3 linked regions of the Mus musculus genome follow. The main gene of each other region encodes a partner of the protein of the gene in region 2 in a complex. Links are inferred from orthologs where the notes say so. Each region holds a gene or a part of one and is shown on either strand. Other genes may lie near its edges. The genes, in order: Sav1, Stk3 and Rassf5.

Region 1 (2,903 bases), on a different chromosome or scaffold from region 2:
GCCGTGCTCACAAGTGGTCACACAGAAAAGCATGCAGTCACTAGTGAGTGGCGTCAGTGCTGGCAGACTGACAGGTGACAGAGGAACACTATTCAACTACAACAACTGAGACAGAAGATGAATCATTTGGGAGCCAAGTATTCCTGAGGATGAGTAACAAGAAATAAATACTAAGAAGACAGGTTTGGAGGCATGGCTCGGAAGTTCTTGCAAAGGACTGGAGTTCAGTTCCCAACCCCTCATTAAGTAGCTCCCATCCCCCTAGACCTCCAGCTGCAGGAAATCAATACTTTCATTTGGACTCAAGCTACACCACACATGTGTGTACACAAACACACACACATAGTTAACAATAAAATAAATTCAAGAATCAAAGAAAGAATAAACTTTCAAAATGAGAGAAACTGAAGAAAACTTCACAATGTGACATCATGTTGCTTATTCTCATGTGGGCCTTGGAAGGACTCTAGTCCTCCTTCAGTGCTTAAAGTAAGTTGGAAGTATAAAACCAAGGTAGTAACTTACACTTTGAAAGGGGAGAGATCAAGAGACAGCAGTCTAACTTAGTTTTCTTGTTTATAGATGAAAACCCTAATTATCTCCTGTAAAAATGTTTAGTGACTAACAGTTCAGGAAGGCAGAGGTGTATGGACCAAGGAGCTTTAGAGTGACAGTTTTTTAGGGTCACTGTCCATTACCATGGGAATGTAAATACAGTAAGTTATGTACCTATGTGATGTTGAGGTCATTTCTCAAATCACTGCAGGGTAGAGATAAAAGGAAGCTTTAAGTTGCAATGTCTAGTGAATTTGTTTATAATAACACTTCTGTCCTATCTAATGGCTACTTTGGTAACTCATTTGCCATTTTATTCCAAAGTCTATATAAAAACATATACGGCTCAAAAAAATACAAAAATAAAACAAAGTATACTGAGCAGTTCCTGCAAGCTGCCCAGGCTGCACAGTGCCACACACAGTTCCATCATCTTGGGTGTGTGTCCCAGGAACACCAGCACCGTGGCAAAGCTGCAAGCAAGCAGCTCACCCCACCCCCGCTTTTATTCTGTTACTTGAGGACTGAGGACTAATCTTGCAGAAACCTGATAGGCTCTTTTCTTGGCAGCACCACTCCTCATGGACAAGAGCTGGAGCTGCATCAAGGAGTGACAATGTGACCGCCTCCAGTGTCTCCAGCACAGCTGTCATTAGGTCGGTTCATTTACTCACCATTTCTCTGAAATTCACTAGTAATTCCTATCGAAGAACTTAATCTCAGAGTGTTCTGCTGTGTGTCACCACAGTACCAAGCTCTTAACTGGGTACCTTGGTTGTAAGTACTATATCATGTTACATGTTAATGTCATATAAAAAAGAAAACAAAAATTAAATGTCATATTTGGTATTCTTATGTATCCATTACCAGAGGTTTGTACACAAAGTAATTAGGATTCAAACATCTTTGAAGAATTTTTACTTCTAATCAAAGAATCAAAATTTATAACCTCTGATATCCTTTCTTAAATGTCACATAGAAGCCCAATAGTGTAAGAAAACCACAATACTTTTTGGGGGTGGGGAGTGGGGGGTGGGGGGTGGGGTGGGGTTCTCTCTGTAGCCCTGGCTGGCCTCTAGCTCACAGGGCTGCCTGCCTCTGGTGTATGTTGTCATCCCCATCTGGGTCCTATCCCCACCCCCATCCCCTCCACCCTGCCAGAGCTGGGATTAAAGATGTGCTGCCACCACCTAATCCATACTGACTATGCATGGTACTTAAGCTGGTTAGAGACCCCAAAGATACTCGTGCCGTGTGCTCACTTACTTCACAGGGGCTCGGGCATAAACCTGAAGCCAGTCAGGAATTTCTGCAGTATGGTAGGGATTTGCAGGGACCAGGAGAGACTGATTTCTTTCAGTTTGTTGTGGCTGATACGTGATGGGTGGAGGCTGATCATACCGAGGTACACTGAGAACAAAGAATTGACATTTATTAAAAAACAGAAGCCCTTTACCTAGGCCAGTAATTATGATGACCATACAGCTTAGCTGGACCGGGTGATGATCATCAGGACCATGCTGTATACACCACAGGAGATGAAGCAGATCACTGAGATCCAAGCCCAGACAGAAGGCATCAACATCAGTGAGGAGGCACTGAGCCACCTTGGGGAGATTGGCACCAAGACCACTCCGACATATTCAGTGCAGCTGCTGACCCCAGCCAACCTGTTGGCAAAGATCAACTGGAGGGACAAGCACTGAGAAGGAGCATGTGGAAGAGACCATCGAGCTCTTCTATGACACCAAGTCCTCTGCCAAGATTCTGGCTGACCAGCAGGACAAGTTCATGAAGTAATGTTGGGTTTGGAGGTGCACAGGGTCTCGTCTCAAGCATGCTTTGCAGTGTTACGGTTTTCTTTATTAAACCTCCACGGTTGTTTGGAAGGAACCCTTCCCTACTTAGCTTGATTTCTAATAAAAAAAAAAAAGAATCTTCTATCTATGTGCTTTCTGGCCAAACTGACCATCTTTCACTTTAACAGAACTTTCCATGCTACAGGTCTAGATTTTTTTGTTTGAAACTAGACTGTGTGGAAGTATACATCATCTTCTTTTGGAAGCTGATATGCTACTAGTGGTAAACACCCAAGTAACGGTGGAGTAGGTAAGATGGACTGGGTGTCCCCCACTCTGGCCTGCCTCAAGCCCTGGGCCTGAGTCCCACTTTGGAACCCCCTCTCCCTTGCTTATTCCTCAGTCCTGTGGTGTCCAGTCCTTTGGCTCAAAGGTCCCCCCAAACCCCACCTCTGCCTTTGTTGCTCTCTGTGTTCCCCTGATCTCAGCACTTCTCCCTCAGTATGCAGTCCTGTCTGACCCACTTAAGTGGGATGTGTTGATAACAAG
Region 2 (2,562 bases):
TCAATTCCCAGAAACCAGATGGTGGCTCACAACCATCTGTAATGAGATCTGATGCCCTTTTGTGGTGTGTAGGTAGTTTATATAGATAGAGAACTCATATGTACAAAGTAAATAAATAAATCATTTTAAAAATTTAATTTAATTTTCTGTTTAAGAGGTGAAATGTTAGGTATTTGTATTGAGTTTGGCCTAGTTCTTGGTCTGTTGGCATTGGGTTTTTGCTCATGGTAGAGTTGGCAAAGCACAGGGAGTAGAAAGCTGTCTGTGGAGTATCACCTGCAGAGCACCACCTGCAATGTATCACCTGCAGAGTGCCACCTGCAGTGCACCACCTGCAATGTATCACCTGCAGAGTACCACCTGCAGTGCACCACCCACTGCGCATCACTCAGGCTGCTTTTGACAGTAGCACATTTTTCTCTGGGCCTTTTCAAACAGGTTTCTTCATCTTACTTTTTTTCATCATATAGTCTTCTCTGACAGTGCAGGCGTTGATCCCTTTGCTGAATTCTTTGAGGTTCCTGTAGTGTGGTGTGGCTCCTTCAGAAAAGGAATTCTTGCTTTAATTGTTGACATGCTTTAAAGATCATGTAAAGAATTTTCTGAAATATTTATTCTAAAACTCATTAGGCTTCTCTGTATTTTGAATGATTATACACTATTAATTTCTTTTTTTTTCCTACATCTAGTTAAAAAATCTAAGTTTAGAAGAACTACAGATGCGGCTAAAAGCACTAGACCCCATGATGGAACGAGAAATAGAAGAACTGCATCAAAGATACAGTGCAAAAAGACAACCTATCCTGGATGCCATGGATGCGAAGAAGAGGAGGCAGCAGAATTTCTGACCAGATTCCCTCTGTCTCAGGATGACCAGAAACCAAGCAACCACAAGAATTGAAGGAATTCTACTTTTTAATCCCTAAAATGTATATTCTACAATTTTTTAAAACTCAAAAATGATGGTACACACCTAGATAAATTTCCCAAAAGCAAACTTTACAGTTGTCTCCACTCTGATGTCGTTTTGAAAGGATGAGAACAACAAACGTGCGCACTTCTCTCTCTGCCTGCTATTCCACCTGCAAGAGAACTAATCTAAAATGAAAGCTGTATGTGGAGACTAGAAATCCAAAGCTGTTGCTTAGTCAATCATACAGCACTGGAGGGCTTTGTGTTCCAATGTCCTTTATTCCTATGGAGAAGCCTATTTATTGATCCCCCTCCCACCCCCCAGGTAGACTTATTTATTTATGCAGTTTCACTTTCTTGGGGTTTTTTTGTTTTTTTTAAGACCAGATCAGGATAGTTTTGGTGAATGTCCAGACACATTGCGGATTATAACACACAACCAAATTGTACACTAAGCAGGGAGCTCTGAGTGTACTCCTTCAACTCCAATAGACACAAAGTCATGGCTGTAATGTTCAAATGGACCAGACATTTTATACTGAAGACTTAATACCATTTCTACCTTTTGAAGTGTTAATTCCTGATTTTGATATTGGTAAAAATAAAACTATATATACATAGGTCAAAAAGAGTACAGTGTAAAACCAAAGAAATCAATGAACTCTTGCACGAAAAAGTGTGGGAAATATTTTTAAAGACATGAAACTGAGGGAAAAAAATGTAATTGTTAATGTTTCTTTTATTGGTCTGCAATAACTCATCAGGTTTATCCTATGGGAATATGCTTCTGTCACAGGACTTTTTGTTGATTTCATTTATTTCCTGGGAATTGGTAAGCATCATGTATCTGACAATAAAACAGTAAAAACAAAAACAAAAACTTTTATACTAAAAACTGTATCCTTAGGGCCTAAAAAAAAAAAAATTAAAGTATTAGAAAAAGACTCATTTCTGCAGAGCATTAGCATTTGTGTAATTGACCTGGGACCAGTCATTTCCTGCACTACACATGTCCTTTTTGACTGTGTGTGTGTGTTCTTTTATGTGTTAATTACTATGTGTGCCTCACAAAGACAAATAAATTCCATTGTGCCACCCAGAACTTGGCGTTGTTGTTATTGTTTTGTTGTTTGTTGTTGATAAGCTCATGGCCTGGATTCTGCCCTGAACAAGGAAGGCTTGTTTGGCAGGGCAAGCTATCATTAGTGGTGCCACTGAGACTTCAGGTTCTTCTGTTCATGCCCCGGGGCCACCAAGAGATACCCTGGTCCTTGCCACAGTGGAAGGAGCCCTGACAAGTGTCAAACAGAAGCAGCTGCACTGGGCATAATAGGTGTTCCAGGGTCAGGAGAGCGTGTCTTCCTTTGAGCTAATCCACAGAAGACAAATTAGCTATGGAAAGTGTCTACCATTTTAAAATAGTACTGTGCCCACAGTCATGCCTTGAAGTGATGTTGGTTCAGTTCTGTTGGATCCTTATGAAAAGCATATTGTATAATTATGTATAAATTATAAGACTGAAAATAAGATGACACGACACTAATGACTTGCTTCGTGCATCCCAATGTGTATACTATGTTAGACATTTCCCAGGATCCCACTCACCATTATCAGAGTCCACTTACAAACTATGAGACATGCTCATCAGCT
Region 3 (3,427 bases), on a different chromosome or scaffold from region 2:
GCGTGGCAGTGAGCACCTTTTACCCACTGAGCTCCCTCACCCGCCCTGTGATTGACTAATTTTAAGGATGCCTGGTGAAGAGAGGCAGAACTGAGTAAGTTGGAGAGCCCATGCATGCGTGATACATGAGCAGCACTGGAAGGTAGGTGGTGATTTCCCTAGTTAACTTTATGTGGCTGTTTCTTGAATTTAAAAGATTTCCGTGCTGGAAATCAGCGGGGCCAAAATGCAGGCTGCTTTCGGACCAGTCCAGCCCTCTGCAGTTGAAGTCATCAGTGACCCACACTCACATCATCATTGTAGATAATTCCAAGGACAAGTGCTGCTTACCTCTGTATCTAGAAAGCTGTAAGTCCCCTCCCCGTCCAGCACCGCAGAGATGGAGAAGAGGCAGCCAGAAGCAGTACCCTCTACTGTGTGGACAATTTTCTCAAAAGCGTTTGAATGGTAGCCTTCATTCTCTAGCTTACTGGAGAAGAAAGCTTGGCTCTGTCTAGAAATGTACCTGCAGTTGCCTCAGTCTTCCTCTCTCCAGCCCACTTTCCAGAAGATGTTGACGTTCAGCAAGGACGATTCCATCGTGACTTGTTTTTACAGTAAGCTTTTATTACTCATTAAAAAACATAGAAAGACATTTAGAAAGAAAATATCCTGAAAAGAACACATACAGAGCAATAATACAACCATAGAAGGCACTACCAGCAGTTAGACTCCTCTGAGACGTCAGGAACTCCATGCTTTCCAGAGGCTCAACCCTCAGTACAGGTCCTGGGTCTAACTGTGCTTTAAAGTCTGAATCTTACCATCATTTTCTGAATAAACGCCTTTCTGTATATATAGCTATATGCCTCTATGTGTATATACATATATATATAATACATGAATTTTTTTTTCTTGTCAAAAATAAAAAGCCATCCATGGGGGGACGTTCTCAGCAGCATTCACAGTGTTTGCAGCAGGAGCCATGCCTTCTCCTAACGCTACAGACATGCAGGATGAAGGGAATGACTTTCCACGTGCCCCTGTAGTACACAGCAGGACGGGGGCTTCTTAAGGGAGAGAGGTGTAAGGCTGGGCATGAGACCTCAGGCAGCCAAGGGGCTGATGGCGTGCACAACCTCAGAGTCGCTAGCTCATGTTGCTTTTTGCAGCTCTGCAAACGATGCACAGTTTGAATGACAAGGATTTGGCGTTCTTCTGGGACGGGAGCAGTGTGGCTTCAGCCTGGGCTGGTAGGGAACTTTTTAGGCTACACGGAGAAGCTTGGGCTTAAAACAACCCGAGGAAAGGGTATGGAAAGGCAAGCACAACATGAAAGTGGTCTCCTCTGGAGGCTCAATTGAAACACTGGCCCTCTTTTAAAGGGACAAGTTTTTCTCCATCTGTATTGAGTGTCTTTGCAGTCCTGGCTACTCTGGCTGATTGGTTTTAAGTCTGAACTACTCAAGAGTTGGAGTCATAATCTGATGCTGTCAATGCAGTCTAGTAACCTCGCATCTTCAAAGTCAAAGCCTGACCGGGAAGCTTGATGGGAAAGAGGCTGATCATCAATCACCCTGTGCTCTGAGGCTGTGTCCTTGGCTCTATAGCACCATTGTCCACTTCCTGCCAGGGGCAAGCCAGCAGAGAGCTTCAAGCAAAGTGCCCCACTCTTTTCTCTGCAAACAAAAAGGCACTGAAGTCACCAGGGAAGTCAGGCCCACGGGTCTGCTCAGTGCTGTGCTGCGAGCAGACCATGCTTCCCACCAGAAAGGACTCCAAGTTGGAGGACTTTACCACTGTAATCAAAGCTACTACTCAGGCAACAGCTGGAGACCCTAAAGCCAGAGGTGGAGGTGGAACTGAAGGCCAAGGAGATTCAGGCCCCCCACCCCCTGCAGGCGTAGGCCACAGACAGCTTGGATGTGCTTCTCTGTAATACTTTCTGGCAGCTCAGCAAGAAACTAAAATTGATAAGTGGCTGGTTTCTCTTTGGTAGAAACCCATAAGGAGGACAGCATTAAATTCAAATGTTAACATATCAAACATTGGACAGAGACATGCTGAAATACCACACAGATGTGCATATATGTCTTTGGGTTTGCATGCACACAGCCTGCTGGGTAATAAGAGACGGCCTGGTCAGGCTGTAGCCTCTTGAAATCTCAGGCTGACCCTGAGTGTCTAGTACTAGAGAAGAAGAGGCACCTTGGGGCAAGGACAGTCCTTTCATGAGCATTTTCCTGCTTTCAAGGACTTAGCTAGAATGAATATGCCACATTTGATCCTTAAATATACTATACGTGGCCAAAAAAAACCAACCAAACAAACCAAAAGAGGAACTGAAGAGTAAATCCAGAGAAAGAACACACAGGCTCTGAAACCTTTCTTTCCTTTTGCCGGCTGGTGATTGATTGGAGTTTGGTGACCAGAGAGGCAACTATTTGGTTTCTGAGAGGCCAGCAGACTGAGCAGGGAAACACTGGTCATTCCACAGGAGTTCTGATCCCAGGCGGAAGCTCTCCAGAGCCATGGTGTGGTGGGTTAGCAGGAATCGAACCCTGCATAGACACTGCGTGGAAGAGACTTTGTGCCACATCTGTTAACTGCTGGGCAGGCACTGGTGGAACCACCAGAGGTGTCTTAACAGTAACTCTTTGTTGCAAAATAATTAACAATAAAATAAATTGGAGGGCACTGAGAGGACAGGAAGTCGGCTGGTTACCCCGGCTTCCCTTGGGACTCTCGTAATGCCTCTTCCAGTTTCTGACGGAATTTGTTGTACTTCTTTTGCAGTTGATGGATCTTGTCCTGCTCCTCTTTTTCCAGGATAGTTAAAAAGTTCTGGAGTTCAGGAATGGAAAAGGCATCCCACTATGAGAGGAGGAGGAGAAAACAAGTGAAAATGGTTAGAAGTTGACATGTCTCAGGGCTCTGCTGTTGCTCCACAGTGAGCCAGCCAAGTACACTTTTCAGCTGAAGGGGCGGGTATCACGAATGACATTTGTGTACCGTACACAATGGTCACATCAGCCACAAATGGTCATGTCCCGGAATCTCCTGGAGTTCCCAGCCTATACACCTGTGCTTATAGAAGAGCAGCTGCAACTGAGGATACACCTGTGCTTATAGAAGAGCAGCAGCAGCTGAGGATACACCTATGCTTATAGAAGAGCAGCTGCAGCTGAGGATACACCTGTGCTTATAGAAGAGCAGCCGCAGCTGAGGATACACCTGTGCTTATAGAAGAGCAGCAGCAGCTGAGGATACACCTGTGCTTATAGAAGAGCAGCCGCAGCTGAGGATACACCTGTGCTTATAGAAGAGCAGCTGCAGCTGAGGATACACCTGTGCTTATAGAAGAGCAGCAGCAGCTGAGGATACACCTGTGCTTATAGAAGAGCAGCCGCAGCTGAGGATACACCTGTGCTTATAGAAGAGCAGCCGC

The links.
Region 1: the proteins of Stk3 (region 2) and Sav1 are in contact, whole or in part, in a crystal structure (PDB 6AO5), measured with the Homo sapiens proteins. The link is inferred for Mus musculus from reciprocal best matches to the Homo sapiens genes STK3 and SAV1. Residues at the interface, in NP_006272.2 of Homo sapiens: Trp429, Lys430, Val431, Pro432, Gln433, Gly435, Phe437, Phe439, Leu440, Lys441, Asn442, Leu443, Ser444, Leu445, Leu448, Gln449, Arg451, Leu452, Leu455, Asp456, Met458, Met459, Glu462, Ile463, Leu466, Arg467, Arg469, Tyr470, Ala472, Lys473; in NP_068590.1 of Homo sapiens: Tyr311, Ala312, Arg313, Ala314, Pro315, Asp319, Trp324, Glu325, Phe327, Gln328, Leu329, Leu332, Asp333, Gln336, Leu339, Lys340, Leu342, Phe343, Glu346, Leu347, Ile350, Val351, Met353, Tyr354, Ala356, Tyr357, Arg358, Ala360, Leu361, Leu362.
Region 3: the proteins of Stk3 (region 2) and Rassf5 are in contact, whole or in part, in a crystal structure (PDB 4LGD), measured with the Homo sapiens proteins. The link is inferred for Mus musculus from reciprocal best matches to the Homo sapiens genes STK3 and RASSF5. Residues at the interface, in NP_006272.2 of Homo sapiens: Phe437, Phe439, Leu440, Leu445, Leu448, Gln449, Arg451, Leu452, Leu455, Asp456, Met458, Met459, Glu462, Ile463, Leu466, Arg467, Tyr470, Lys473, Arg474, Pro476, Ile477, Leu478, Ala480, Met481, Lys484, Gln488; in NP_872604.1 of Homo sapiens: Trp369, Asp370, Ala371, Phe372, Ile374, Leu377, Gln378, Phe380, Leu381, Leu384, Glu385, Glu387, Glu388, Lys391, Ile392, Val395, Gln396, Lys398, Tyr399, Phe402, Arg403, Lys405, Leu406, Ala409, Leu410, Ser413.

What each region holds. Positions count from the first base shown.
Region 1 is NC_000078.6:69,967,249-69,970,151, forward strand, and holds part of Sav1 (protein salvador homolog 1), read right to left. Parts: exon of another isoform or gene 2,041-2,903; intron 1,966-2,040; coding exon 1,822-1,965; intron 1,212-1,821; exon of another isoform or gene 1,126-1,211; intron 1-1,125. UniProt on the Homo sapiens protein: Regulator of STK3/MST2 and STK4/MST1 in the Hippo signaling pathway which plays a pivotal role in organ size control and tumor suppression by restricting proliferation and promoting apoptosis.
Region 2 is NC_000081.6:34,874,948-34,877,509, reverse strand, and holds the end of Stk3 (serine/threonine-protein kinase 3), read left to right. Parts: intron 1-689; coding exon 690-848; 3' UTR 849-2,011; downstream 2,012-2,562. UniProt on the Homo sapiens protein: Stress-activated, pro-apoptotic kinase which, following caspase-cleavage, enters the nucleus and induces chromatin condensation followed by internucleosomal DNA fragmentation.
Region 3 is NC_000067.6:131,175,825-131,179,251, forward strand, and holds the end of Rassf5 (ras association domain-containing protein 5), read right to left. Parts: exon of another isoform or gene 2,854-3,427; coding exon 2,701-2,853; 3' UTR 586-2,700; downstream 1-585. UniProt on the Homo sapiens protein: Potential tumor suppressor. Seems to be involved in lymphocyte adhesion by linking RAP1A activation upon T-cell receptor or chemokine stimulation to integrin activation.